Linked DNA regions of Styela clava. The protein of the gene in region 1 interacts with the protein of each later gene in a pairwise test. Links are inferred from orthologs where the notes say so. Each region holds a gene or a part of one and is shown on either strand. Other genes may lie near its edges.

Region 1 (16,062 bases):
ATTGTGAAACATTTTGTCGGTTGTGTCGTGTGATATCGAAAATTGGGTTCCATTAAATTTAAACCCATGTACATTTGAACCCACGACAATTGCACCTGCATACTATTGCACATATGGAATTTTTTTGATTTACGGATATTTGAACCCATACTAACCCTAACCCATGGGTACATGCGGATATACACGTGGATTCAAATGTACGTGGGTTCAAAAGTACGGTCACCGAAAATTGCGACGACAATGACAGTCGAAGTATAATATGATTATATACGGTATGTATATCTATAAATGACCATAAAAAGTTGGTAAAAGAAATGGAAAGTTGAGGGTGTATAGGTACATACGCTAATATCCGTAAATGCAAACGTCTACGGGTGAAAATGTACATGGGTGCAAATGTACGTGGGTGTAAATGTACGCGGGTGCAAAAGTATGTGGGTGCAAAAGTACATGGGTGTAAGTGTACGCGAGTGCAAAAGCACGTGGGAGCAAATGTACGCTGGTTCAAATGTGTGCGAGTGCATATGTCCAATGGTGCAAATGTCCGCGGGTTCAAATGTACCGGGTGCAAATGTACATGGGTTCAAATGTCCGTAAGTGCAAATGTTTTTGGGTACAAATATCCATGGGTGCAAATGTTCATGGGTGAAGCAAAAATCTGCAGGTGCAAATGTATGGGTGCAATTGTTTATGAGTTCAAATGTTCGTATGCAGTATGCAAGTGAAATTGTCCTGGGTGCAAATTACAGGTTCAAATGTTCGGGTGCAAATGTAAGTATGCAGATGAAATTGTCCTGGGTGCAAATCATTTGTTCAAATGTACGGGTGCAAATATAAGTGGGTTCAAAGATAATGGAACCAATACTTCTTATACATAATGTATTTTATCTAATGTACTACAATTCTGCAGTGTTTGCATACTAGACTACATAACTCCTACATGACTTATCATTGCTGCCCAGGTTCTTGTCGTCTCTACTAATTTGGACCAACTGACATCAGTAAAATTGGTTCCTTTCTCCTCTTCCTCACAAACGTGCATTACAAAAACGATCATTGTTTTCTGAATTAAATATTTTGTAGTCTAGCCTATACATTAGTATAAGCGTAAATATATACTACTACGGTATAAGTCTGCTGAATACTTGAGAATCGTGATTGGATTATTCATATTCATTATTCACGAGCATGAAAATCCCATATCGTTGTTTGTGGCATATCTTTCTAGGTCTAGCCTTTTTTAAAGTTACCGCACCGTTTCTATTTAACAACGTTATATGAGCTAGTGTTCAACTTAAATTGCTATCCATGGTAAGAATTTACAGGTGTTTATTAGCTTACTTATACTTTTTAACACCGTCTTAGCATAACTTAACTGATAATAACTAAATAAGACGATGGAAAGGCTATTCAACACAAGAGCGAGCAGTTCAAACTGAGATTCATCGGACCGCCACCAGCTCATAAAATTTTAATTGTTACGCCACGCAGAAGTCTGCGATCATTGACCAATGTTGCCGGAAACACGGAGAATACAGGACAGATGGTGGCAAATATTTCTTGTAGTAAAAGCGTCTTTTTCGTAAAACGGGCAACTTTTGGAAATTGGAACAAGGTATTATTTATTACTAAATTTCTACGAAACATTTTAAAATTATTTCCAAGTAGTTCTTTTATGTGCGCTACGAAACGGAAAGTTAACGGCCTCGTCTCGCGGCCTAAGTCGTCGTAAACGCGATGCGAGTACAAACGCACGCCGTACGCGCGTACAATGAGCGAGCCGTTGGCTGGACTATGTAGGTTGCGCTGAACGAGAGCCTGGCCCGAGCGCTAGTCGGCCTAGCCCTAGCAGAATTATGCCCCTCGCATAGTTATGCCCGGGTTTTAGGCACCACTGCAGGAGGTCGACAGGGCTCTTGTAGACGAAACGCATGGCGCTCTGCTCAGCATCGCCTGGCAAATGCGTGGATATTGCGGTCAGCGCAGGCGATGGGCTAGGCCGCATACGAAAGCCGCGTCGGCCGACCGCAGCTATCTGATTGATTCTGCCTAGAGTGATATGCTCGTCTCAATGATTAAGATAGGTAGATGTATAGCGACATCTAGGCCCGGGTCGCGTCGACCGTTGATAGGCCGAGTGGCGTGTTGACGCGTTTCGATTTTGGTACGTATTCCTGATTGATACTCGATACTTGATTGGTGTATATCTCGCGACACGCATCTCAACTGTAACAAACTACTGCCTCAAACTGGGTTAAGTCATCTCACTGTTTCATCGCTATTTTTATATTGTTTTATAATTGCCGCTTTATTTGATGAATACAATGCACAGCCAAAATTTTACACGTTTTAAATAGAGACTTGGAAGCTTACAGTCAAGGAACCGCAGTCTCGGCACGCGCCGAGTCATGAAAACACAATACCACGCCCCTACAGAGAGTTAGAGATACCTACGTGATCAAGATCCACTTCAACTATTATTATACCTTAAGTGTCGAAGAAGCCGCAAATCAAGGTTCCTAAAGATTTTATTACTGACGAATGGCTGATTTTAGACTTTTATATTAGCAACAGTTTCCTAGGTTTCGACACATTCGAAATGTTACAACCGACTCCGATCAGAGAGATTTATTTTTTCGTCAACCAAAATAAAATAACAGCCATCGTTATAAAAAAAATAACAACAAGTATTAAATTAGTTTGGTATAGACAGGAGGTAAAGATACGACCAGACGGTCATCAAAGTCAGCTCCAGGCCAAGTTGTATGCCGCCAACCATGGTATTATCAACAAGCTCTAAATCTCGTATTAGATAACACTATCGAAAATTTCTGCAATTTCCATATAGCACGTGTTCCTCAACCAATAATAGGAGCTGATTTTCGGTCAAAACATGATCTTTTGGTCAGCTTACGCAACTCACGCCTCTTCGACCCAAACTGCTAATATCTACATATACGGCAAGAAGTTCATTGACAAATCAATCGCAGCCAACTTCTTTTCACTCAGGCATCAGGGCCACTAGGCACATAGGTTGAAATAATTCGAAGATTTGAAAATCCCTCGACATGCATCAGTTAGGGCGAAATTCGTGAATTCTTGGATCAGCGGAAGGTGAACTACTGCGAAGTGAAGGAGCTAGTGTCTAACCTTGGCCGAAAGGTCAGAGTAACCCGTTGAACCACATTCGTGATTGTTTAATTAATTCCCTTGAATGAGGAATTCTCAGTAAGCGGTAATCTGCGTCCCTGCTCTTTGTACACACACCGCCTGTTGCGGTACTACCGGTACCAAACTTTGCTGTAAACTTTTTGCTTCTTTTCATGATGTAATGTTTGACTTTTTATCCTTTATGTATTAATTACTGTTGGACTTAATCATAGATGTCGCTGCTTGTAAACCAGTTTTGGTTTCTCGCGCCACCTTTTGCCCTGAAATGCCAAAAGTGTATTTTCTTTGCGTGCCGAGAATACGATAAAACTTAATTTGATTTTTAGAGGAAGTAAAATTTATAGCAAGGTTATTCCGCAAGTGAATCCGTGGAACGATCATTATCGAATGTAGGCGCCGTCGGCCGACCGCACTTGTCTTTAGGTGCCTTCTGCTTCGTTTGTCGGTGTTTTTGTGTAGTTTTGTGGTGACGTCTGCGCTTCGATGCCGGGTGAAACGTAGATGATGACTCTCAAAACTGATAATGCAAAAATGAGACACTTGCGGCCGTTAATATACAAGCCTGTATAAAGTCAGGAACGCACCGTAAACCATTGTACCCACGGGGCTCATTCACCAAAAACAGAGAACGGTTGATAATTCTCAGCGACATAGATAAAAAGTCGGAAGTGGGGCTTGTCATTTTCAAATACCTCACCATTCATTCGAATATTTTCAAATACTGAAGTTATGCAATTGTATCATTTGTATGCGATTTCTTTTATTTCGATGGGATCACTAACTTACCGAAAACGTACTCAGACAGTTCCCTGGGTGTTCAAACACAATAGGAAACACATTTCATCAATACCTCACGAGAAAGAGTCACCTGTCAGAAGTGGCTTCAATAAAAAAAATGGGGGGGGGGGGGGGGGGGTTCATCTAAAATTTAGATTCTATACCACTGACGGGCGACAAAAACTGGATAGCGCCAATTCGAAATTTTTGTTCAAGTCGATTCGAAATGCCCATCCTCTTCAGGGGTATATGTTGGAATGTAGACATCAACCCGCATCGACCTTGCTTCATCATCTTATGTTATCTGGCGATCAATCACATGATAATTGAATAGAAATGAACGTCCGACCTGCATCTCATTAAAGTTGCAATATAATAAGTTCACCTTCTGATAACACTCTCTACAATCTGGACTAGACATTTTAATTTTTATCAGTATATGAAATAAAAATTCCAACAGATTTTCATCAGTTAAAAGTAACTCATGATGATACTATTGGTATTTCGAGCTATGTCACTTCCGAATTTTTTTCAGTGAGATAATTATGTTTAACTTTGGACAAGCACAATACAATAAACACACTTGAATATTTATTATCTACAACATAACCTATATCGGTTGAGAATAAATGTGCTAAAGAGTAACTAGTATAATAGAACTTGTATACAAATTAAGTTGAAAACAGGTTCTAATCTAGATGGGCACATTCAAGCTGTGCTTTGCCTGTCGTGTCGTGCATAGAAAATATACATTGTGGAAAGGGTTAAGATAGATAGGTCACCGTTACATGATCGAAATAAGAAACTAAAAATGAACAAAGTAACATCTTATTTAATAGTGCACTGTTGATTAAAATTGTTGATACGTCATACATGGGAGAGATTATGTGTTTGAAGCTACAGTAATATTTGACAACTACTATTCAACTGTATTGGAAATCACTCGTCATCATCTTCATCTTGTCGTGTTCTCACAACAGCAGAAGACTGAAAACCTTGACTGCCAATCAAACCATGAGCAGTGTTGAAAAGATTTATTGGAGAATTTCCATCGGTTATCAGAGTTGATGTTAAACCGAGGGCCTTCAGCATTTTCACTTGCATATCTGGTCCGGCAGAAGCAATTTTGCAAATAGTATCCGGTCCGATGGTTTCAACCATATTTTTGAATTTTTCTGTCTCGATATCACCTAACTGCTTCTGTTTCTTTACTTCCAATTCGTCCTGCTCACGAGAATATTTCAGTTCTGCATCACGGGCTGCGGTCAAGCGCTCTAACTCAGATGTTGAATCGATTCGTGCTGCCTCTGCTTTGAGTTTTGCTTGGTCTACAGCAGCTTGACCTTCAATTCGAGCAGCTTCTGCTCTTGATTGTGCTTCTGCCTTAGCTTGCCCTGTGCTTTCAATTGCAGCACTCAATGATTGAAGTTCCAGAAGATCTCTTCTGGACCGTTCAGCCTCTGCTTCATCAGTAATCTTTTGACGTTCAAGTCTGCCTCTTGCTTCCTGCTCTGCCCTTTCTGCTTCATGACGTGCAGTCGCTTCCTGGGAGTTTGTTGTGATTTCAATAGCAAGTTGAACAGATTTCACCAGAGCATCTCGGGTTCTTTGGTCCACAGGTTCAACGGACTGGATATCGATAGAAGTTATAGTCAGCCCATTTTGTGGGAAAACGAACTTGTCACGAACTTTTCCTTTTTCATCTACGCCAAATACAGAAGACCTAATGATACGAGATGAATTCTTATGAAAATCATCGAAAGTGACAGAAGCAACAGCCCCTCTTACACGAGATGCAATTGCCTTGCAACAATCTCCCACAAAATCAGGTACACTGAATAATTTTGCAGCATCTTTCTGGTCTTTTCGGGCATTGTCTGTATCAAAATACCAATTATATGCAAGTTGCAATGAGAGACGTGCATGGTCAGCAGTTTCAATGGTAATGACATCAGTACAAAAATCTGGTCCAAGAAGCAACGCAAGCGACCTAATGACATTCGGACGTTTTGGTTTTCCACCCGAGAGCGACAATTGCGTGAATTGCTCATCAGGATTGAGCATCACAAGCTCAGGTCCGAATATCACTCGTGCTTTCTTTTCCTTGTAATCATAAATTTGTACACAAGCATTATGAGGAACTCTATAAGAAACTACTCTTGTTTTATCACGACGTAATTGAGAGGGGCCTTTGTTTCCTTTCTCCCACATCCCTCTGTCAGCCGAAGGATCGATAGCTGATGTCACTAGTGCCTCAACATTGGGAGGAAGCTCTTTCTCCCAAAGTTCTTCATCATGGGTCAACATGTAAGTGCGGCCACAAACAGCTCGAACTTTACCAGTTTTTAGGTCACGTATGTATATACCTTCATTTTCATCGAGAGAAATTGCACTTCTTTTAGCAAATACATTGACCTCAACGGATGGAACATATTCGGTGGGTCCTCGGATCATCCACTTGTCTCCTGGCTTGCGCTGTATTTCATTGCTATCATCAAAATGAGCTTCTTTTGCTTGTAATATAAGGCCCTGATCTTCTCCAAGCACATAAACATCCTGAATGCCTTTCTCTAATTTTTCACCAGGTTGAAGGAAAAAAGATGCTTCTCCTTTCACAAGTTTGCGCTTGCCAAGTTGGTTCTTTCCATCATCTTCTGAAACTGGGTCAACTATCACACAATATTGTCTACTGTTCAAAGTAGTTATATCAACAACACCTAAGACTTCTTCATGAACATCTGGAATATGAGATTCCGTGTCCGACATACGAATTAACCATTCTTCTCCATTCTTTCGTTTCACATTCAAAAAGTCTGTGAAGGTACGACTCGCTTTCATATGCAAAGCTTTCTTTTCAGTAAGAACATATGCCTCCACAAGTTCGACAACTTCTTCATAGGTTCCGGGTAAATATGCTCCAACTTTTTTAATTATCCACTCCTCCCCAGTCACACGCTCAGTGCCATCCCGATCAACTGTTTCTTTTCTCGCACGCAATTTTATTGCTTGATTTTTGCGAATCACTGTGGCTCTGATAGTCTCCTCTACCAGAACCTCTTTGCGTGGAATGTAGGTACCTGGTCCTTCAAATAACCATTCGTCACCAGCCACTCTCTTAACATCACCGTCAGTAAAATCAAGTTCCGCTCTCATACGCAACGCAGAATTTGCAGGGACAATACGCAGTGCACAAACAGCAGATTTTAAAATTTCACCAGGATAAAGTGGGAAGGGATCCTGAGCCAAACGAATCTCTCTATCAGCATAGCTGAGCTTTGCCTGACCAGACTGGTCATACTGAACTTCACCTTCTTTATTTCTTACAACAGGATTTTCTATGGTGCAATAATGACGAGGTGGAATCGTAATCATACGCTCCGGTCCATATATGACTCTTTCATTATCTTGCCGAATGTAGGTTTTAGGCCCAAGCTCCAACTTTGTTACATTGGTGTTCTGGTCCAAAACATGGATGTAGAAATAAGGCGGAATTCTGTAAAGTGCTTCATCCTGGCCGGACATGTTAGCAAATGAAGGTGCTTTCTTACTCATTTTGAGTTTTACAAATACCTATACAGACTGTAAATATATATAAGGATTAAAGATACAGTATTTTCAATTTTTGTTTGGTAAATTGGTACCAATCTTTTAATTTACTTAGCGAGACATCTATGACTAATTTTAACGTTTTCCTTTGCTATTTATTACATATATGAAAATATGTTGGAAACAGAAAACAATAATATAACATCAGAAAATCACTACGGCTGTACGGCGCTAAAAGCAAACAAAATACCAGATTCTCAGTACATGAATTCACTTTGATAGCATGAAAACTTATATTACTGTATTACTAAATTGGATAAGGGTGATACAATAAAATCGGGGTCTTTGGAAGTTTTTTTAGAATCATGACATGAAAATTAATGCAATTATTTGTGTTCTGCTTCACTGTGTTCTGAAGAAATTCCAGAACAAAAATTGCCTCATCTCAGCTAAGGTGGTGTGAACCTGATTTGCCAAAGTCAGATAGTTGCATGCTGATAAAGTACAAGTAGTATACAGATTTAAAAATTAAATGATATACATCTGTGTGAGATAATGTGAATTGCATCAACATTGACTAATAAAGGTTTATTCTTTCCAAAAGCAAAGCACAATTAATACAGTAATTTCATTGAGAAAAAATCATCCTGTTACTTGTCAAGGAGCATCTATATTTATTTTTGTTCTTTTTTTATGCACAAACATGTGTTTACGCAAAAACAAAACTATTTCCTAAAAAAGCCAATCAACAGACAAACCAATGTTTTCTCATAAACCATTTCTCTTCATTCTCACATCTGAATTAACAGAAGTTTTGCAAATATTGTTTCCAGGTAACTAAACTCTTTTCATTTAATTTTTAATTAAATGAAAACTACTGTTATTGCTGTATTGCTTGCAGTTTAACAACTGAACAACATGAATTGAACAGAATTATAATCATATCATTTTGATTGATTGAAGTTGATTTCATTTTTTCAAGTATTCGCTTACAACATGAACACCGGCCACAGTTTGCCTCAAGTATTCTTTTTTAGGAAGCACTGTATCACAATTCTGATGATTTGTTTCACCATTCTGGAATCAAGTTCTATTAAGTGGTCTAGTGACTAGTCCACATCTTCCTGCACCTAACTTCGATTTGACTTCATGTAACTACTGAACTATACCGGTAACCACAGAATCAGCTTTGATATCTTTTTTGATAAATATTTTTCTTTACCGTTCACAAAATCTATATTTACTGATTTAATTTGGCAATGATTATAAAATTATTAATATGGTGTGACAAAGAACTTTTATCATTTAGTTTTTTATTAATTTACTACAGTACAGCAGTACCGGTACCACTGTACCATGTAATTTATTCAAGGTTTTTGTGTATTACTTCCTTATATCTCTCTGTTTGTGAGTGTGAATTAATTTAAGACTTTTCCGGTGAGTGAACACGTACCGTTACGGTACGGTACCACTTCTTTTGGCAAAACCTTCCAACTTAAATCTGTACGCTAAAAACCTTACTCAAAGTATTGTTTGCCCCTCTGATTCTATAATCCTGTAATCAGTTTTTACTTTTTTTTGGTAACCATTTTATCGTCTGTTATGCTGATTATGGATTCGAAATAAACTCGTATTTATTATTATACACAGCATTATCAGAACAAATATAAAATTAATAATAATTAAGACTATAAAACGTTACACACACAATAACAAATGGCGAACGTTTGACAGCCATTTAACGTTGCGAACCGTTACTGTTACAATAATAAGCTTCATGAGCAGAGAATAATAAAAGTCGAACGCGCAATTTATGCCAAGCGCACACTCAATGGAAATAGGATATTATTCAGGCGAAATTGCTACGTGTGTGCGCTTTCATAAAACGAGGTTATTCATTGCACCATTGTGATGCGACCCACGAAAGGGTATTACCGTTTCTTGCGCACACAGTAAACAAAAGAAACATCCAAACAAGTTCCTGTAGCAAATATCTATTTGTGATCAAGTATGAGAAGAGCTACGTTTGGTCATTTGAAAAGTTTTAACTCCAGTCAATGCAATCTACTTCAATTAAAAATTTGGACCATTCAATTGACAACTTCGCAGTTAGTAGCGGGATATAATATAACCACGTGAGGAACACCGTATTTACTTTATTCTTTGACGTTAACGTTAATATTTACGAATTCAATACGTTTTCCTTAGGTTTTATCGCAGAAACATCTGTCGCCCGTACTAAACAATCGATAAAACCATAATCGATAAACCCAACTTAACTAAAAACTCAACCAATCGACTATAATATGTGTTCTTTACATTATATCTCAACAAGGTGGCCCAGCACACTTTACAGCTGTCGTAATGTTGGTAAATCTAAATTGAACGGAATTCGGAATTACGCATGAAGTTAGTTACATCCACCCACTGGAGTTTACCAAACACTTCGACAAGCAACGTCATATCCTTCCTTTGTATATTACGTGTGATCTCAGTCATTTTAGTATTAAGCCAACCCCATATACTGAAGTGGCACCATAGTTAGTGCCACTATGGTATGCGATTGAGATCACGCAAAGCACGTGAGATCACATACCAAAGTAGTTTTCGACGCTGGGATATCATAACAAAGTGGTACCCAAGACTGTTAGTTTACTAATCATGAATGTAAAAATTAGCCGTTTTATCCATTGTTATTTTTCCCTTCCAAATATCATTTCAGAAAATTAACTTATTCTCGTTTTAAATTACTAGATTCAATGCTTCCAGATGATATTGGAATTTTTCCTTTAGTGCAACAATATTCACAGCGAAATCAATTGCACTGTAGCGAGTGCACAGTGGTTACTACGGATTTTAATGATATTTAACCACTTTGTCTTATTTATATGTTAAAATGTGAAGAAATTATGCCGTTACACACTGTTTTCTTTTGGTGATTTACACGCTTTCAAGCAAGCATTCCTTGTATGACACCTGCGTGCTGCGATATTTTAGTAGGCTATTACAGTATATAGGCTGTATAGTAAAAGGGTGATTTTCTGTTACAAATATATATATATATATATATTTAAGCACTAACGATCAAGACTGGTTGTACAGCGAGGGTGTCATGGGGAGATTTATATTCAAGTCGATAGCACGTAGTGAACTTGTATTGGATGCCATGGGTACTGGTGTTATTCACTACGAGATGAAAAACCAGTGCATCGTCGCGTATTCGCAATCATGAATCCCCACTTCCCCAGTGGTTTTATTTAGTTTTCCACAAAGCATGGAACCCCGTGTTGCCCATCAAGGTTTTGAGCCAATATGTCTCGTTTTTCTCAAAGTAGCATTCAGATGTCAAGACCTACTGCTCCAAATATGTGAGTAGGCCTAACTGTTTCGACCCTGTCAATGTCTCGTTTCACACTTTTGGTTTTGTGTTTTTTAGGCCTAACCTGTACATTTCGTACCAATTTGTGCATTGGTGTCGTCGATTTCCCATCCTAAGTCGTTTCCAGGATTAGAGATATGTTTTCATCTCCTTCATTTACAGGATTTCAACCCCCCGTCATCATATAGACAAAGGTTTTCGGTCTCACCAAAAATACTTCCTAACCTGCTTCTTGCATATCAATGACTGCTAATAAGAGCCTTCTTGAAATGAAAGCTTCAATAAACAAAAAAACGGATTTTTGGCAAACTGAATACTTATAAGAGAGCATTTAAGCAATATGATGGAAAAATATTTACACGAATGAATTACATATATATAGAATATATATATAGCTTTTTTATGATGCGTTAGAATATATTTATTTTTTCAATTTGATTATTATTAAATTATTAATTTATAGGATTAAATGCGAATAACAATTTTTCTAGCACAATCACAATCGGAGCTGTTTTACTGCTACAAAGCACAAAGCATTGATGTTTCACTTATGTCAATTTTAGTTTTAGTCATTAGTTTCATTAAAACTTCTTCATGGATGATTGAATACCACTTTACAAATACAGTCGCTTAGTTGTAATACTTAAAATGAAATTTTTAAATATATATATACCACTTTTTTAAATTTGCAAATCCTTCGTAGCGAGTAAATAAAGAAAGTTAGGCCTGCTGTGTATTTCAATACCTTTCATCATCTATTGTTAACAGTGCATGTTATTTGCCTGAATCAAGGTCGTTTCCCCAATTCAATATCTTTATGATATATTTGTGCAACATTTTATGCGCAAAAGTTGATTACGTATTTTCCCTCGCTCGAGTGTTGCTTGTCTTTGTTTTATGGTTTTTAGTTAGTTACAAGTTTGGTTTCATCACATATACTTGCGTTAACGTTTCAAGCTTATTTTGTTATCTGTTATTTGGATTTATTCGATTGTCCAACCTTCTAGAATATACAATCTATTGTGTTTTTATTGATCTCTGAAAGAGTTCAGATATGATTTGCTCCGCTAAAGTACCTTAAATAGTAGCCTACTGGGGTAAGGACACTCAGATGGGAACATTTTTATATAGCATATATATTTTCATTATATTGGTGAATGAAAAATAAAGTTAATGTATCATTGCAGTAATTGTATATGAAAGAATTCTAAATTTTGAATATATGTATATATATATTGAGAGTTAACCTTGAAATATTACCCTATAATTTCTTTTTAAATACAATACATATTACACTTTAAATTAGTTTTCACATATTTTGAATGTACGTCGTCTCGCACTGCATTCGTGACCTAAATCAATTTTAGCGGTCTGCCTAGCGTATGTCGAATGATGGAATAGTACTGATACGTTTTGAGTATAGGGCTAGATTGTATTTTTGTCACTGTATCTTATGTTTATTTTTTCCTTTATTGATGGTCCCAAATTTTGAAGTAATTATCAGTAACTTCAATCTTTTATTTTACTTAGTTATTACTGGGATCTATTTGATCGAATAGTGAATTAGTATGTCTTTTTATTACTTCCCAGCAATTCTTCACCGCATTCTCGTCACATGCTATAACTCCCACTGACACACGAAGAAAATAGATTCCTTCAACTTCCGACGATATGAAATGAATTTCTCTGGAATCGTTTATCTGTCTCAAAAGACGATCGTTGATATCTCTGTTTTTCTGTTAATCAAAAATATAGCAAAGTTTACTACTTTTTCAATTGTAAATATATTTACCTATAGCATCTGCGCAAGGTAAATCAAAACGCTATTACGCCTCATACAATTCAGAACAACGTATGGCCTCTTCCACACATACAAACTTTATATTTGCTCTAGATTCATTACAAGCCAGAAACAAAGCATACATAACTCCACAAACATTTTCCAATGTGATTTGTACTATTCGAAATAATTATTATCTCTTGTGAAAAATGGTATCAACAAATCACATTCTCACATACGACAATCTCCCTTCCTAATCATAATGAATTATCGAGATACCTTTCTGTCATTTTTGTATAGTTTGAGTCGAAAACAAACCAGTCCAAGTTCAACGGAAAATACAATTTCAAATCTTTTGTCTTCTAACACATAAGATTCAAACATTTTCGCCAACGCTACGTCTTCTCTGATTTTATGTCTCAGTCCTTCGATACCGATAAGTCGAAAAACAAACCAAAGTTTCAATGCACGAAATTTTCTGCCTAGAGGAATTTGACAATGCTGGAAGAAACAAAACTTTGTGATAGTCATATCCGTGAATTTAACGCAAAAGTTTTTTTGCAACATTTGCCACGAATTTCGAAGCTCCCGCAGTATGTACACCAAGATGGCGCACAGCCTGAACATAGTATGTGTACCAGGTTAGGTAGGTTTCAGGTTGTCCGCCATCTTGGTGTACATACCACCAAATTTGTACGTGAAAGCATATGAACCTGTACATGTGTTTCATCTGTAAACTAGGGGGTAATTTGAAAGAGTCAAGAACTTTTCGGTTGTGCTAAATAAGTTGGATTTTTAGTATGATGTACATCTATATCTGATAAAAATTGCACAGTCAAGCCATTTATATACAGAAAAATTGATATATGTAAACAATACAAAAATGTGTTAGTATATATATATATTCGACCCCGAGATAGATAAATGTATTCAATATTTCTTTGATTGGTTTACATTCATTGTGAAATTGATTTGTTAACAAATTAAGTTAAGCAGCTTACCCTGTAGTCAATTGCAACGTTTTCCTCGTCGTGGCGTAAATATAATGGATTGAGTTTGAATGAATTGATTAAATCCAAACTATTTTTGACCCTGAAATACGTGTTAAACAGTTATTGAATTCATTGGAAAATAAACGTAAAACCTCTTTATTGTACGTTTTTTGAGTATCTCAAAAATGTTGAATCTCACTTTTTCCGCATGCCCCACCTGTTTGACGCTTGTCTCAGTCGTATCATTTGTCACTCGTTCCCCACGTGTCTCACATGCCCCCCTTGTATCATTTGTTCCACCAGTCAGTCATACACCACACACAAGTCACACAAAAAAGACAAGTGCGGGCCACGTAGGACAAGTTCAACACATGGAATTCGACATTTTGAGACAACATCGATTTTAGGGAATATTTACCCTCGTTATACTCATATAGTTACCCTTGTGTGTTCAACAATAGCATAATATATAAGATTTTACATTGGCAGTTGGCACACGCATTTGCTCATAGTCAACTACCATTTCGCAATAAATAAAATTATATTACTTGCTGACTTTGCTAATTATTACATCAAGTTAGAAAAATCTAAATCGCCCAAACATTCCAACTATATATAAGACCAACAACTTGCTCAACATAGAAATTGTTGGTTCCCGAAACAAAAAAGATTTAGGATTTGTATATCCATTAGGCTTCTAAGGGACGAACTCATTATAGTCCTTCTATGGTTTTGCGCTAGTGGATTCGTATACAAGCAAAAGTAAAGACACCCGCTACCAATGATGATCCTCGTTGGGCTTGACGGAATTTATTTAAATTTATACAATATTACTGAAATTAAACAGCCTTATCGGCCTTAAAGAATAATTTTCCAGCACTATACAAATATAGAAACCGATCGGCCACAGTTTTTCATAATATAAACTTACCAAAGTGGTGAGAAGTCGAAATTCACCATCAGCCATTTGTGTGGATTGAAATTGTAAGAGGTAACCATCTGACCGAAAGCAATTGGCATGTTATAGTATTGATTTCATAATAGAATGTTTTAGAAAGGGCAACATACGTAATTTAGAAATACGACGTACGAATCAAATATGCCGTTTTTAAACATTCACTCGTCGCAATCGAAAGGGGAGGCGGAAGGAATGTAGGAGAAACGTAGTAGTGGAATGTTAAAAAATAAAGCCAATTTGAAGTTAAAATTTAGTGCTAAATTATGAGAAAATATGAAACGATGTAAAATGGCTTTTTAACGGACATTTCCATTTTTATCTATTGAAGGGGTGAAACAATTGCTCCAACAGTCAAAAAAATATTTTGATCTTGTTTATTGTCACTAATATTTTGAGTCCGAGTTAATAAATCTGGTTATTCATGCTAAGTAAATTCAGTGTATTATGTATTCCCACCTCAATTCCTTTCATTCGATGTCGAAATTCGGGACAAATGAAACTGCATCCGGCGTATGCTGCATCAACATGAAGCCATACATCCTCTTTGTTACCTGAATGTAAGAAATTGAAATCGGTTCCTCTGATCTTTTTCGTTAAAATTTTAGGTTGCTCACAAAAGTGCATAGCAATTATAAAAAAAGTGATTCATTGACATTTTAAATTGTCATACTCAAATTACCGCCATCAACTTACAAACTTCTCCGATTTCTTGAAGATTGTCAAATGAACAACAGGCCGTTGTACCAAGGGTTGCACAAACCTGAGTTAAAAAGAAGACGGTTTTAAAACATATTTCATTCACTACAAATATAACCATGCGAATTGCGTATATTTCAGTTCGAGATTCAATTTGCATTAATTTATTATGAGCGTACAACAGCATTTCTCACTCTTTGTCGCGGTCAATTTTACTGATTGTGAACGTATTTGTCCATAAATAATAGGTGTATTTTAGTCAATTTTCAGAATATATCTCTAGATTGTGATAAAGCATGTTCGACTGAAAAATTTATTCAATATTTCTGTGAGTAATAATATTTAAAACTCACATAAAATGGTATTCTTCCATCATCTTTGTCTTTTTCCATTGCCTTTTTTAATGCTTCTCCTCTAACTGCAATATCCTTATCAACAGTCACTTTATGTAAATGCACCATTGCTATGAGACCTGTGAAAACTTACAATTATTATTTTATTCATTTCGCCTTGAGATTTTTGGTTTTCAAAAAAAATGCGCTATGCTCCAAAGTGGGCAAGTTTGTCCACAATAAGCATTCTTGTAAGTCAGATGTAAATATTAAAATTATATCTTCGTGTTGAATATTTTGAAATCTACAGTGCAGTGCACTTTTGTAGATACTAGCACTTCAGATAAAGATATAAAAATATAATATTCATAAAAGAGCAAGTTCGTTACGTTAAACTTAATTTTGTATGCTTCAAAATTGTTCTGAACGCA
Region 2 (15,719 bases), on another chromosome or scaffold:
ATAAAATTTGCCGTTTATCTTGGTTACTTTTATATTTTGGATACGTGCTTCCTCTTTTGCCCTTTTTCTGCGTTTCTGTGCGGCACTGAGAAGTTTTGCTTTCGACATCATTCTGACAGCCTTCGTAATTTTGCCGGTGCGATCAAACCACAAGACGCCGAAAATCGACAACTCCCTGGCATTGTTACGTAGCAAAACGATTTGAGCAGAACTAACATCAACGTTATAACATGTGCATTACTGGTTTTGCAATGCAACTTTAGGTTTTGCGGCTCACATTTCTAAATTCTAACCGCTGTGGGCCCTCCCGCGACCGCGGGGGTTGCGGGGGTGGATGCTACGCCACTGATTGATAGGTACTGTAGATCAGTGATTCCCAAAGTGGGCGATATCGCCCCCGGTGGGCGAAAACGATACAGAGGGGGGCGATTTCGCGAAACCTGTTTTAGCTCGGCGCATCGTGCACTTGATTACTGTACCCTGCGTGCTTTCGTAGGTTTGAATAACGGGGGCGTAGTCACGTGCGAAAGGATTGCTGGACTCGTCTTCGCAATAAGGTACGGTAGTTTGCGTATCCCAGTGGTCGGGAAATCTGTAGTAATCTGGCCCGGGACGCTTCACTGAATGGACCTTTCTCCGACCTTTGACCCCGGAAATTTCTTCCCATACTTTACCATTCTAAAATTTTCGGTGCTTATTTTAAGAGTGGTTTCGCGAATTGTTGCCTATAAAATACAGTTTTTGTTTCAAACTATCATTCTAGTTCATACCATTCAACAACCTGTTTTTCGAAAGTACCGGTAAAGAATTTGGGTCTCGTGTAGTTTCGTACCTAACGGACTTCTAGTGGGCATAGCATAACAATTTTTTGATATGTCAATCCTAACCCCCATCTGATTACGCCATCCAAAAATTAAATCACTACGACATCACAATCACGGCATAGAGCTTGCCAAATATACGCACGATCGACCGAAACGACATATTCAAAATCGCGGAAATGAGGTAATGTTCACGACCACGCCTGAAAGTCTGTCTGAGTGAGGAATGTGCCTGAGTGGATGCGAAAGGGGACATTGTTACGTTTATTTTTGCACCTTGCTGATTGGCCAATGTCACGAAGTAAACAAGGAAGTCTATGCCAGGGGAAACATCTAAACGGCGGTTTTAACGATGAATTCATTTTATTTATTATCTAAGTTCGAGGAGTAAATTACATTTTTTATTAAAAAAATATATCTAAAAAAAAAAAAAATAATTACATTTTTTACGTAACAGAATTTATCGTGAGACACGTTTAGACTAAATTTTAATATATCCTAAAAATTATATTGAACAGCTACTCGTTTAACGAGCCTACAATTTAATTATAATTAGACAAATGGAAACACGCAGAAAAGTTGATGCTGAGTGCAGGGGTTCAATAGCGCAGTAAATATTCGAATATATTGCAATGCAATAAGGAAAAAAAATTCATATTCTATTCGAGAAATTCATCACTGCTTGATTTTTGTAAGAATGTATCTTCTTAAAGATAATTCTTATCAAAATTTCACAAATCATGCGAAAATATTCACTTCGATGTTTGGAAGTACATATTTGTGCGAACAATTATTTTCGAAAATGAACATACAAAAACTAGGATAGGTGATGCCCATTTAGAAAATCTTCCAATCTTGGCGTCGTGATGCTATCAAGCGTGATGCAGCAACTAGACAGTGTCACATTGAATATCATTGTAATAATTTTTTAATAAGACGACTGAGTTCAGTTCACGAATTGTCGCAGTTTTCGCACGATGTTCCGTTTTTAACTTTCAAAAAATATATGCGATCCGCAAACGAATAGCAACCCTAAATTTTGTCCCGCGAGCGACGTAAAAGTTGCCGACCCCTGAGCCATCCGAGTCCACGAATCCAAAACCAACGGCTGATTAATTCTATGGACTGGAGGACGTGGTAGGATAAGGAATCGGGAATGAATTTTACCGAAGACCGTTATATATCATGTATTTTGGTAAAGGTCATCAGGCTGTAGAGTAATGTAGGTAAAGGTCAATGAGATGTACGAAAATCATTATTATACGTTTTGGAAAATTAAATTTTTTTCATTATTTTAATGTGAAATGGGGTGAATTTAGGGAGTTAAATGCAAGAGTACACGGTGGTTTTTGAGGAGGTAGAACCCTGGATTCTTCCATTCCCGATCTCTGATATGGTGAAAGAGGGGTTTTCAGCCGAGCTGCTATTGCTATCAAAACAACGAAATCGTCTTTCCATCAGTAAACGGGGTAATTTTAGATATAATAAAAAACTCGCTGAAGAACACCAAGCTCATCCATCTCATTAAAAAACACCATAAAACATGATTTGTCTTCTTATTTGGTCTGTAATATATTCGTTTCAGACTTTCAATTTTTTTTGCAGTGCCGGGGGGCGATGAAGTTGTATAAACTACTGTAGCGGGGCGATGGTACAAAAAGTTTGGGAACCACTGCTGTAGATTAAAAGCGACTTAGTGCTTATGGTGAGGCTCTACAAGAAGCCTATAACGTGTTGGGCGGTGACACTTCGCGCTATTAACTTTCTTTTATGTATAACCTGCCAGGTTTCTCGATAATTAACAACTCCACAACTTTGAATATGAACGAAATATAATGCAGTCGATAAAATACCAGTCTACATGCACAAGTACGATATAGACGAATAAATGAACGACGAAATTGTGTGATGATAAGAACAAATACAGAAATAATTCCAGTATTTTAGAGACACAAATGATCACAGTATTGTAGAATGTAGAGGTCCAAATCAAGTAATGTTGAGGTCAAATGATCATTGTTGAGACGCAACGATCAACTGTTGAGGTCGAAATGATCATTGTAGAATACGAATGATCAATTGTTGAGGGTTGCTAAAGTTTACGACCAACCCAACAGGCATGTTAACTACATACTTAATTCTTAAACAGCGAAAACAATAGCAACGTTAAATTAATTATACAATACGAATCAAAAGCAGTCATGTATCCAAAAAAACAAGCAAATAAATCCGCTCATTGCGGCAAATAAATTAGCACTACCTAAAGGCAAACTGCTAACACGAAATAAATTGTAAATGGCCGACTGGCAATGATTCGAAATAATAAACAAACAAAAACGAGAGAAAAATAAAAAGCCGATAACAGACTTTGTATACGCCGACATGTCTATTCCTGCCCACGAACAGATGGTGAAATCGCCTTGAAGGGAGTCATTTCGTGAACGGTCATTCGACAAAGTGCAATGACCAATATATCTCGAGATAACCCCGGGTCAAATATATACAAAATAAAACGAAGAAAATTTGTCTGTAACATGTACTATAGTTTGAGCGTAAATATATACTACTAACTAGCGTTATCCCGTGTTGTCTCATCATACAGGGTGACCCCAAAATACAGAACCCATACATTTCTTATCCTACTTCTACAAAAATGAAGAAAATTTATTTAATTTTGTTTACACTTGAACTGTTTGTACATGATTGTATCCCGAAATTTCAAAAATCCAGGACGCTTTGAACAGAAGATATGTTCTTTCTAGAATATCTTTCAATTCACCAATTGTTTTAGGAATGTTCTGATGCACATGTTTCTTCGAATATTCCCACAGATAAAAATCTGGGGGGTTCACATACCTCAGCGATTTTTCTAAATCACGATCTTAGATTCGTTGTTGCTGCATAGAAATTGTTCAAATAATTTAAATTGGTATATTTTGCTTCTGAAGAATACGGGGTGGAGTTTTTAGAATTTCGGTAAATTCATTTATTGATATAGGGGTATCAATTGTGGGACAAGTGATACACGTGGGTAAAATGATGTACGAATAGGACAAGCGTCGGATCAACAAGTGATAGACAAGCTGGACCAGTGTGGAACAATTGATACAATGGACACGGACATTTTTGAGACACCCCTTTGTTATATCATCGTAAGATCGATTGCTACGGTACGGCCCATAATCAAGATACATTCAACCGTAAATATATACTACTACGATTCATTATTTCTGAAGGTACCGGTATACGCCAAAGTATCTTCGTTTAGCAAAGTCAGTTATTCTTGTGAGTGATTTCTCGTGAAATTTTACTTTTAGCCAATCTGAAATTACTTATATAGTTAGTCGTATTAGTTTTTCTAAACTTTAAACCATAGGCATATGTGTAAATTGACATTGGAAAAAGTTCTTTTGAAGATGACAAGCAAAATAATTCCCATGATTTTCTGGACATAAATCTAATTTAGATCAACTGTTGCTGCTTTGATTTACCTATTTGTTGTCCGTTTTTTGTATATTTAAAGGTTTAGTTTAGAGTTTAGACGACTCTATGTTAGACAATTTTTTATTTATAAACCAAAGCGTATAAAAAAGCCCTCCGGGAGCAAATGTTTATGGGCGGCACGTGATCGTTTAAAAACGTCACAGCAGTTGAGCGATAACAATATTTATGCGAATTGACGACTTTCTCCTGCAGCGATCTGCCGTATTTTCACGTGATTTGCCGTACGGTACCGGTACCCAGACTATTTCTTTGCGATAGTTTGCTTCGCTGAAGTGGTACGTGGGTTCAAATGGTGGATTCCGCAGTGGCCAGGTTATGTTTAGCTCTACCGTGTCTTAGAACCGCGATCGCAGCAATTCGCCATTGGACTATCGTGTCAATGATTTGCGAGCGTCTGTCTGTGCTTCCGTCAGTCTGGGAAGGTCCCGACTAAAATTGTTATTGGCGTGCCGGTATTAGGGATGGGCCGGGATTCGGATCCGGACTCGGATTCGATTCGAATCCAGGCATTTTTTCAGGCGAGTCCACGTCATTTTTACTGAGTCCATAATCAATTCTGTTTTTACTAATTTACACCTATGTTTGTACTTTTGCCTCTATAAATCCCACTACATACCTCAACTAGTTAAAATTACAGGTTAGATCTGTAACAATAATAACCCTCGTTTGCATTATAAACACGCCTAATAAAATGACGACAGATATCCAGATAATATACCGGTAACGCAAGTTAAAAACTATTAATCGCTTATAACAATGATGGATGTTGCGCCAGTCGCCTTCAAACTATCTATCCTATACATGTGGTACACAATAAAATATGTGTTATTGCAATATTTGTGAGTTTTTGATTCGCGTAAAAATGAAACATGCTCTGGATCAACCTAATGTGGAATCTCATCAATACCTCTTTTAAATCGAGTTTATTGCGTGCAATCCTTTCGCTGAAAAGGCAATGGAAAGCATGGAGAGTTTTAGAACGTTTACATGAACTACTAAATTGCAAGCAAATGTACCACATTGTATTGACGACGAGTGGCATTTCTCTACTATTACGCACATGACATAGTAAATTTACGGCTAAAAATATCTGGAATTGTGGGAAAGCATTGTAGTCGAAAGCTTTTTATTTTTCATATTGACATGTAAGAATTTCTGAATAGCCGCCCAGAATTGACGCAAATCCAGTTCACAGCCAAGGCGCACATTGACCCACGTTTACGTTTGTATTATGGCCGCCAAAAAAGAGAAAAAATATATATTTTAAATGATTCAACAGCTATCTGCGGAACCATTAGGCAAAAAATATGAGCTACGACGTATGTTTGTGAGCGCTCGCTGCTGTAGCATGGTCAAAAACACGTTTTTCTGCTTTTCCATTATGACGTCACGGACTCGGCAGATTCGAGTCCTTGACCTATTACTCGGATTCGTCGAATCTCTGTAATGCCGGACTCGTCCCATCCCTAGCCGGTATGATCAATGATACCAAACTGCAGAACTAACAAACAAATTATCTAGAATAGACTATAACCAGTCTTACTACTTACTGAATACAGCACGAAACACCGCAAAGAGCGCAAAACAGAGGGAAACAGCGCAAAACAGTGAGAAAACAGCGCGAAAGAGCGCAAAACAGAGGGAAACAGTGTGAAGCAGAAAAAAATTTTGCAATGAGTTCGGGGCACCTTGTTTTGAGTTGGAGTACCACGGCAACAAATTAAAAACACAAACCAACGTATGTAGCCAGAAATGCTGTAATGGCAGGTCTGCCCCTGCTGGTGACACATTTTGGGTACCATAATTTAGAACATTTTCCATATGTATATGGTTGGCTTTAGGGTTAGGGTTAGATAAAAAGGGACCTCCAGAAGTATGTGCACCAAGATGGCGCACAACCTGAAAATAGTATGTGTGTGTAGCGGATTCAAGTTGTGCGACATATTGCTGCACATACTTCTGGAGCACCAAAAAGGTAGATAAAATTTCGCATGATGACCTATAATCCGGTACATAACCTTGTAAATATACCGGAAATACCGCCATAAAACCATGGCGAGAGGCGCCGTAGTTCTTTCGTGGCAGGAGGTGGAAATGACTACGTCTCCTGTTTTGCGCTGTTTCCCTCTGTTTTGCGCTGGTTTCGCGCTCTTTGCGGTGTTTCGCGCTCTTTGCGGTGTTTCGCGCTGTATTCAGTAGTAAGACCCGACTATAACTACTAAACTAGGGTTGTTTAGCCAACATGAAATCACAACAAATTTGCAAACATTAACTCCAATACCATAATCATTATTTAAAATATAAGAGAAGGATGTAATAAGTTTTATACAAAATCGTAATTATCTATTGGAATATAATATATTATTATAGATATTCCCTTAACTTAAGGATGCTCAAATCTTTTGCGTTGCAGTTTTACTAGATCAGCAGATTGATGTTGTTCTGTCATGATTAGCTTTATCCTCAGCAATGTTTTGTTTGAATGGTTTTTTGAGTCGCACATTCAATGCTATGCACTAACGATCTTTGTTGCTAGAATAGACTGGCAAATCCTAAGATATAGACTAAGTGCCTACTTACGACTCTTCCATCAATTTGTTTCCATTTTTAGTTGGCATCTTCTGACTGTGTGATGTTTTTTAAACCAATTTGGGGTCTCATGTAGTTTCGTACCTAACATACTTCTAGTGGGCGTAGCATAACAATTAATTCACTTGTCAATCCTAACCCCCACCTGACTACGCCATCTAAAAATTAGACGCAATAGAGCCCTTTAAACTATACGAACTGCCATCCAAGACGCGCAGGCGAGCACCCGAAATCGAACAGCTATTTCTCTCGTTTTCCCATTGCAATGATCCCAATAGGAGAGAGATCGATGACGTTAGTCAGTTCTTTATCGTCGGGGCCGATGCCATTTCGGACGATCGTACGTATATTCGACGTGATTGTAATATCGTAGTGACGTCATTTTTGGATGACATAGTCAGATGGGGGTTAGAATTGCCATCAAAAATTGTTATGCTACGCCCACTAGGAGTAGGTTAGGTACGAAACTACACGAGACCCCCAATCTGCATAAATTCTCCAAATTTCACTAAAGCCCTTTTTAGTAAAGTTCCCCTAGTGTCACAAAAGTTTTGCTTTATTAAACAGGATTTTTAATAAATTTTTCGTTTTTTCTGAGCAAGAGCTCCTCTAATATTGTATCGTACAATAAACTAAACTGCATGGCTCAGCAAGGATATTATCCTGGACAACCACAAGGTGGAGCACCTTATCCACCACCACAGCAGGGAGGCTATCCACCTCCTCAAGGTTATGCACAACCTGGATATGGACCACCTCAACCAGGCTTTGTACCCCCTCAGCAAGGCTACGCACCCCCACAGCAAGGTTATGCCCCGCAGCAGCATCCAGGTGGTGCTCCTCCGGGTGGTCAATGGATGCAAGCACCCACTGGAGTACCAGGATGCCCGCCCGGATTGGAATACTTAACTCAAGTTGATCAAATATTAGTTCATCAGCAAGTTGAATTGTTGGAAGCTTTCACAGGTTTGTATTAAAGATTACATTATATTTCAATAAAAGATATGTTTGTTCATTTATTCATATGATAATTTTTAGATTTATTTATTTTGAATGAACAACAAATTGATTTATTTTTGACTCATCAATGTAAAATAAAAGCGTGAAAAATTTTATCCCAGGTAATTGAAGCTTAATATTTGGTATGATGTTTTACATATATTTGCTAAATTATACCCTCGGATTAGTATTTTTATATATCAATTCATCTACATTGATCAACTGCCTATATAATTTCATCACAATATAATGTTACAGTTGTACCTTCACCCTCATTTAAATGTTAATCTATTGTGATTTGTGGTATAATTTTAAATAATACCTTCAAGTTGCTGCAGTATTGTTCTTCTTTGTTAGGACATATTGTTTTATATTTTGTCGATTTGATAATCAAATTTTGGCAAAACTTACAAGCTATGACAAATTTCATATATAGTATTCATTATTTTAAAAAGATACATGATGAAATATTAACATTGCTCAGCGTTTTGAAAACTTTTGAATCGACTTATTTGTCTTTTTCATGTTGTATTGTATTCCCAATTATTTTTCCTAGTTCTTATTAATTTGGTAAACATAATGCAATTCTGACTATTGAATTACCAGTACTTTCACTTCATCCTGCCTCGAATGTGATAAAAACTTTTTCTATACACACTCTCAAATCTTTCATATATAGGTATTTCATTGAAATTGCAATTGAAAGTATTAGAAAATCTCAAATCAATTGTTTCGTTTCTGGTTCCAAGGACAAAATCATTCATATTTTTCAAGTAAATAATTCATAACAAAATTGATGCTAATGTTATGCTAAACAGTCAGATAAGCCATTCAATATGCCTACAAAATATATTACTGCAGATTGTACAGAAACAATGTGCGATTAATTTTTTGAATCATAAGAATACAGAATAAAATTGACTTTTTTAGTAACTATGTGAAAGAAATGTGACTACATTACTGTCCAATGTTGCGGTGCCGAATATACTACATGGCATGTCCATATTCCATCGTAAGTTTTTAGCTTAGCCCCTTTTTCGATACAGGATTTGAAACTGCAAACAAATATGAGATCAAAAACAGCCTTGGACAGAAAGTATACTTTGCTGCTGAGCAGAGTGATTGCTGTACAAGGCAGTGTTGTGGACCATGTAGAAATTTTGAGATGAAAATTCTTGACAACCATCAACAGGAAGTGATGCATCTTGAACGACCACTGCGCTGTGCTTCATGTTGGACGCCTTGTTGCCTTCAACAGATGACAATTACTTCACCGCCTGGTAAATATGTATATTTTTGTAATTAATTCCAGTAGACTATGGCATAAATCATGCAATGACTCAATTCCTCTCAGAAAAAATATTCAATATGACCAGAGGACAATATTTTGTAGTCTGGATATAATTACAGTCAAGCGAATAATATTCAGTATTGAATGTATCAATGTAAAACCAATTGGTTCAATCTATATAACAACATGGCAATTTATATAATAGGCTTACAAGTTTAAGTTTTGTTTCGTTTTTTTGTGTGGAAACTTACCTATTAAAACAACTTTTTTACAATAACATAGCGAATACAACTAATGAAATGAGATTCTAATCTATTATTGTTGAATAGCAACAGTGGAAACATTAATAGAAATTTTTATAACCACCACCTGGCAACTGAACTAGAACAACGAAACATTTGTATTTGCCTATTCACCTGAAGACTTGGGTGTCAATTGTCAATATTGTATTCTTATTGGGCTAATGCTCAAATGAACGCTGTGATATTAAGTAAATATTGCCATATTAACTTAACAGTTTGAAATGTCTATTGTAATTCCTACTTGTTAAGTTTTTACCGCTATTGTGATATTGGTGCAATATAATGCTGTGTGACTCATACTCATATTATCCTATTAAAAGTCGTTTAGAACTCACTTAATAACAATGCAACAGTGAGTCATAAATATAAAAGTGAATATGGATTGTTGTATTTTTATAGATCAATTCATCTACATTGATCAACTGCCTATATAATTTCATCACAATATTATTTTACAGCTGTACCTTCACCCTCATTTAAATGTTAATCTATTGTGATTTGTGGTATAATTTTAAATAATACCCTCAAGTTGCTGCAGTATTGTTCTTCTTTGTTAGGACCTATTGTTTTATATTTTGTCGATTTGATAATTAAATTTTGGCAAATCTTACAAGCTATGACAAATTTCATATATAGTATTCATTATTTTAAAAAGATACATGATGAAATATTAACATTGCTTAGCGTTTTGAAAACTTTTGAATCGACTTATTTGTCTTTTTCGTGTTGTATTGTATTCCCAAATCCCAATTATTTTTCCTAGTTCTTATTAATTTGGTAAACATAATGCAATTCTGACTGTTGAATTACCAGTACTTTCACTTCATCCTGCCTCGAATGTGATAAAAACTTTTTCTATACACAAAAAGCAGTATCATGATCATATACAGTTATTCGATTTGGGCTCTGCGTGTATGGTAGATGCCATGATATTGGTAGTAATGGTAGTGTTTCATGGTGCTGAAACTGTGCAAACATGGGCTCATCCTAACTTTTATTTTATGAGATTGGTATTGGTATAGTATCAATGTATCATACTATACCATGATATAGTTGTACTTGTCATACTGTATCATCACAACTTAAAATATTTAAATTCAAAACTGATTGGCAAAAAAGAATTTCAAACCATTTGGCGTGGACATTTTAAAATTGATATGTCTACTTCCCTATTTTATCACGTTTTTACTATAATTTGTCATGAATATTTTATGGATCTTGGAGGAAGATCTATTGTTTATTGAAGAAAAAAATGTGTTTAAAAATGATAATTACCGGTATCTTTGAGGAAATACGGATGTACCTGGCACATTATAAAAAGACTCGGATCGCAAACTGAATATCATGTCACACAGTTTCGATTTGTTTGAATGTAGTTTGAGATTGTTGTTTTGAATTCTTAGGTGATTTTTATTACTTATTCCAATGTATAAAATAATTTTATAATGCCCAAAAATTTCTGACCTTCTCCGACTCTGTGATACGAAGCACATGTTTCACTAATAAAGCAGTGTGATCAGTTATCAACGCAAAGTTATAAACATTACTTACTTAAGAAAATCAGGATACTATGTCCTTCAATAGAATATAAGATATGGTTTTATTATAAACCTAATACTATACTGGTGGAAATACATCAACTGGTGTTTTGTAATGCTACACAGTGGTTTTAGTTACACGAACACGGTGTGTTAACCATTTTTTGTATGTGACATAATATTGGCAAATCAAGTAAATGTAAAAATCCTATTACTCTAAAAACCACTGTATGTAGTGTATTGGACTGCTGGATATCAATCTGGGATTTTGTTTCGCCCGCTCATAAAAAATTTATCTTTCATTCTGTGCTGCCAGAAGTGTTTAAATAATTCAGTCCCAAAACTTCTTATTTCTTTCAATCTGATTATAAGAACTTCTGTAGCTGTTGGTATTATTTTAGCCCCAGTAGTTTTCTGCAATTCTCTGCAGTCTGATTATGATACTCTTCATGAATTATATTATTGTTACTGCTATGCTTTGTCACAAAAGTTATCTTCAATGCATGCGGTTAGAGAATATGGAGTATTAAATTGTATTTGACATTCGATATGGCAATGCAATTGTACTCCATGAAATTGATACTTGTTAGTAGTTAATTTTGATGGTTCCAATAGTTTCAACCTCTCCACTCTCCAGATTAAACAATGACATTCTCTTTTCTGACTGCTACAGTGTTCTTCTATTATTCTTTCATTTTGGACGTCAACACAGTTTTATTGTTTCTCTTCATTTCTATTGTATCACATTATCAAAAATATTTATTTCAGGCACAGTGATTGGTTCTATTGAACAGACTTGGGATATATTCCTACCGAAGTTTGATGTGAAAAATGAACAGGGTGAAACTGTATTAAAAATTGAAGGACCTTGTTTCACTTGCAATTTCTGTGGAGACGTTGAATTCAAGGTAAAATTACGCATACTTTCAGACATTCACACACTTTGAAGATGATCTGTTTACAGTTATATGCCGCTTACATCGTTCTAGTCATTGTTTGATACCAAGTTAATATTCTAGTATTAACTCGCACATTAGAAAGTTATTCACTGGCTAAATCAACTAATGTAGTTGGGGTTGATTATAATAATCCTATTATAGTTTGTGCATTTCCAATATTCGATAATAAATGTACAATGAATATGGCATATTGTAAAGCAAAAAGTTGATATGGCGTTATTTTTAGTTACCAGAAAATCAGTCTATGAAAGAACTTTAATGAATTTTAGAAGATTTTTCAATACTTGTCTGATTGTCTCAAACCTACCATCAAATTTCAAACAAGTTTCCTGACTTATGAGGGATACTAATCAGATATTAATACTTAATTAAGTGTATGTTTGAAACAATATAATCCTAATAGTAATATACCGTACTATATTTTTGTCAACTTGAAGAACTTTCTCTTTATTAGGTTCTAACAAAGGAGGGCAGTGAAATAGGAAAAATCTCAAAGCAGTGGTCTGGCCTCGTAAAAGAATATTTTACTGATGCTGACAACTTTGGAGTTCAATTTCCAATGGATCTTGATGTGAAAATGAAAGCTTGCTTACTTGGTGCAGTCTTCCTCATTGATTTCATGTTTTTTGAACAGACAAACAACCAAGACAACCAAAGAGTTGGAGTTTGGCAATAGGCAGGTAATAATCCATGATATTTGGCATCTTGAATCCTAGGTACATATCACGAATAGTTTTTTAATACAGAACTCTTTTTTTTTAATTAACAGTGTCTGTGCTAAACTTCAGTCATGAAAATCTGAAAAAAGTCGAATACATTTGTCGACAATGCTTAGTAGTGAATTTTATGTTAAGTAAGTTCAGAGTACTTTCAGATGGTTGAGTTTTTGAAAAATCTACTGGAATATTATATTGTAATATTGAAAGCAACTCGATTCAATGTGATTCTTTATACATTTATTACCCATCGTCAGAAATATGTATCATTTTTTCTGAATCTAGTATCGATAAGTCTACTAATAAAATAGCTGATTTTGAACTGAAAGAAGTTTCAGTTGTCAGAAGACAGATGCTGAAAAATACCTATATATGTGCCTCAATTTCATGTGTGTGCTTTTTCACTAAAACATATTTCAACTAAGATACAATGGTAGAATTGTTTGACACTTTTTCAAGTTTTTTGGAACGGACTTTATTGGATCACCACTCTGCTTAATTGGTTCTGTTTATTGGTATATAGCATTCTTGTGCACATATCACTGTATATATTTTTACATCAAAAAATGGTTTGCAGTATGTGTAGACTTGCAGTAAAATTTCAACTGAATATCAATTTTGGACTAGCTGTTAAATAGTAATAGGATTTTTAATAAAGATTGGAATTTGTCCTGTTACAACCTGATAATGCTATTATCTATTAGTATATTGGAATATTTGGTCCTCAGGAACTAAACCTATTATTTTGCATGTTTTCACACTTTTATTGCATTTATTAATGTTACTGTATATTATTAGCCTATTCTTACTTGTCCAACCCATATTTCACACAAAGAAGGCAGAAGATTACTACAAACAATTTTGAAATCCACTAAATGGATTATCATTGGTAGATAAGATTAATAACCGAATAACATTGATATGTTCTATGAATTATATTTTAAATGCTGTTGCTTGTTACTGTAAATTGTGTTGATAACCTATTATTACTTGTTTGATTCATATTGCCCACTGGACCCCATTACCTTCACACAAGCATGCATGATACTTACACCAAAATTGGCCATCAAATGTATATTGCAAGTAATGTAAAAATGTTTGTTTGGATATATCCATATATGTATACTTAAAATCATACCTATTATATATTGTCATGCATTTCTGGAATCCACGTAACGAATTATGGTGGGATTATGCAATTAGTAATGATTGCATTTTCCATTTGAAAACATATGTCGAAGAGAAACAACTTTGTGCTTGAAATGGGTGTTGTAATCTTCATTGATCCATTTATTTTCTAACTTGGATTGGTGGGTGGGTTGAAATGCGGTGGGTTGAAAATGGTTTATGTTGCCTATTTTGCTTGAAACGAAGATTTACCTGGTGTTGGATGGGACAAATGTTCATATTGCCGCCCTCTAAAGAAGTCAAGAACACTCAATCCATTTAAATTTATATTTCCATTCTTTATCTGTCAAAATGTAATTACCAATTTCAAATTTGATTTACCGGTAGGTAGGCCTACTAGTTGTTTTTGTGTCCTTGATTTTTGCCAATGTATCACACAGTGCGAGGTGGGTGGTTACATCACTGCATGAATTTTTAATTGACATAATGGCATTTATCCCTAACTCTATCTCACAAGATTTACCATCATGCCCATTAGCGAACTCTGTAAATCTAGAGCATAGCAGTCAATGTGCAATTGCTCATGAAGAGCATTGTTTAGAGCAGGGGTTTCCAAGCTTTTTCCAGGACGACCCCAACGACAACCTTTAAGTGTCCAGTGCGACCCCAGGTCAATAAGTTTCTTCCACTCGACTTTGAGTTTGGTTATGTGGTGATATTAAGTAAAATGAGCTAAAACCAAACAGCGATAGCGATGTCCATGGGCCTGTTTTACATGGTACAAAGCCATGGTACAAACTGCTAAATTATACATTCTTTGTCAAATCTTAGATGTTTTGTACATCCATCCTCTATCATACCTCAGCGACCCCGTGACCTGTTTGCGACTCTACTTACTTATCACTCATACCCAATTTGGGGTCGCGACCCCTGGTTTTGGAACCCCTGGTTTAGAGCAAACTTGGATGGACAAAACATTTTAAATTAAGTGTAACCTTCTTGATCCCGAATATGTATACGGCTACCTCCTGTAATTTACAATCTTATTGCATTCTGATTTCGATATATTGCATTTTATGATCAACAATCTTTGATTTTTGTTACAATGTTCCGACTGTGTTTTTTCATAACTTGTTGAAATAGTGGTAGTTTGAGTTTGATTTTGGCCTACTGAGTTACTGACATTGAATCAAATCAAGAGTAGTTACTGCCATCGTGTATGTAGTAGTGTTCATATTAAATTTCTATAGTGGGACATGGAATGAGTGCAAATTTTAATTTGAAGTGGGAATTCATGGTGGGATGATTCAGGAAAATGTTCTCGATAATCGAGAGAAGTTTCAATCTTGTACTACTTTCTTCTTCATAAGCTTATTAGGCAAGTTCTGTAATACGAATTCGAATAGAACATGCGGCACAAGCATTCCTCAGGCATTTGTTTCAGTAATGTGCTAGAGCTGTGATGATTGCCACAGAATAAACAGACTGGCCTGACTCTTGACCAGTGGCATTTTATCACTATTAAAAAGAGTGTTTTTACATAACTGTCTGTTTATACCCTCCACATTTAACATTTCCATGGAGTTTCGTTGATTTTTGTGTTTATTTTAAAATGTTTCTTTGCCAAGTACATTTTATTTGTAATATAAAGTAAGGTTTATGGATTGATATTATATGTCATTTTCAAATTGGACCTCCATATTTAAATAAATAGAATGTGTGTAATTGATTTAGTCGTGTTCTGAGACACAGAGCCGTTTTTGTGGGAATTCTGAACGATATTTGCAGAGGTCAGTGTATATCTATCAACATTTGTTTTAATACTTTAACTTGGTAGAAAATCCGTGAAGATTGATTGCTGATCTTTTGTTT

Evidence for each region.
Region 2: the proteins of major vault protein-like (region 1) and phospholipid scramblase 2-like interact in a two-hybrid assay, tested with the Homo sapiens proteins (2 studies listed by BioGRID and IntAct). The link is inferred for Styela clava from reciprocal best matches to the Homo sapiens genes MVP and PLSCR1.

The regions. Positions count from the first base shown.
Region 1 is NC_135260.1:15,796,532-15,812,593, forward strand, and holds major vault protein-like, read right to left. Parts: upstream 7,544-16,062; 5' UTR 7,501-7,543; coding exon 4,888-7,500; 3' UTR 4,351-4,887; downstream 1-4,350. Other genes in the region: aromatic-L-amino-acid decarboxylase-like, read right to left, coding at 12,400-12,609, 12,933-13,154, 13,655-13,745, 14,577-14,644, 15,060-15,154, 15,297-15,363, 15,653-15,771. UniProt on the Homo sapiens protein: Required for normal vault structure. Vaults are multi-subunit structures that may act as scaffolds for proteins involved in signal transduction. Vaults may also play a role in nucleo-cytoplasmic transport.
Region 2 is NC_135257.1:8,201,968-8,217,686, forward strand, and holds phospholipid scramblase 2-like, read left to right. Parts: upstream 1-7,475; 5' UTR 7,476-7,555; coding exon 7,556-7,880; intron 7,881-8,959; coding exon 8,960-9,193; intron 9,194-11,812; coding exon 11,813-11,952; intron 11,953-12,457; coding exon 12,458-12,679; 3' UTR 12,680-12,683; intron 12,684-12,772; 3' UTR 12,773-15,576; downstream 15,577-15,719. UniProt on the Homo sapiens protein: Catalyzes calcium-induced ATP-independent rapid bidirectional and non-specific movement of phospholipids (lipid scrambling or lipid flip-flop) between the inner and outer leaflet of the plasma membrane resulting in collapse of the phospholipid asymmetry which leads to phosphatidylserine externalization on the cell surface.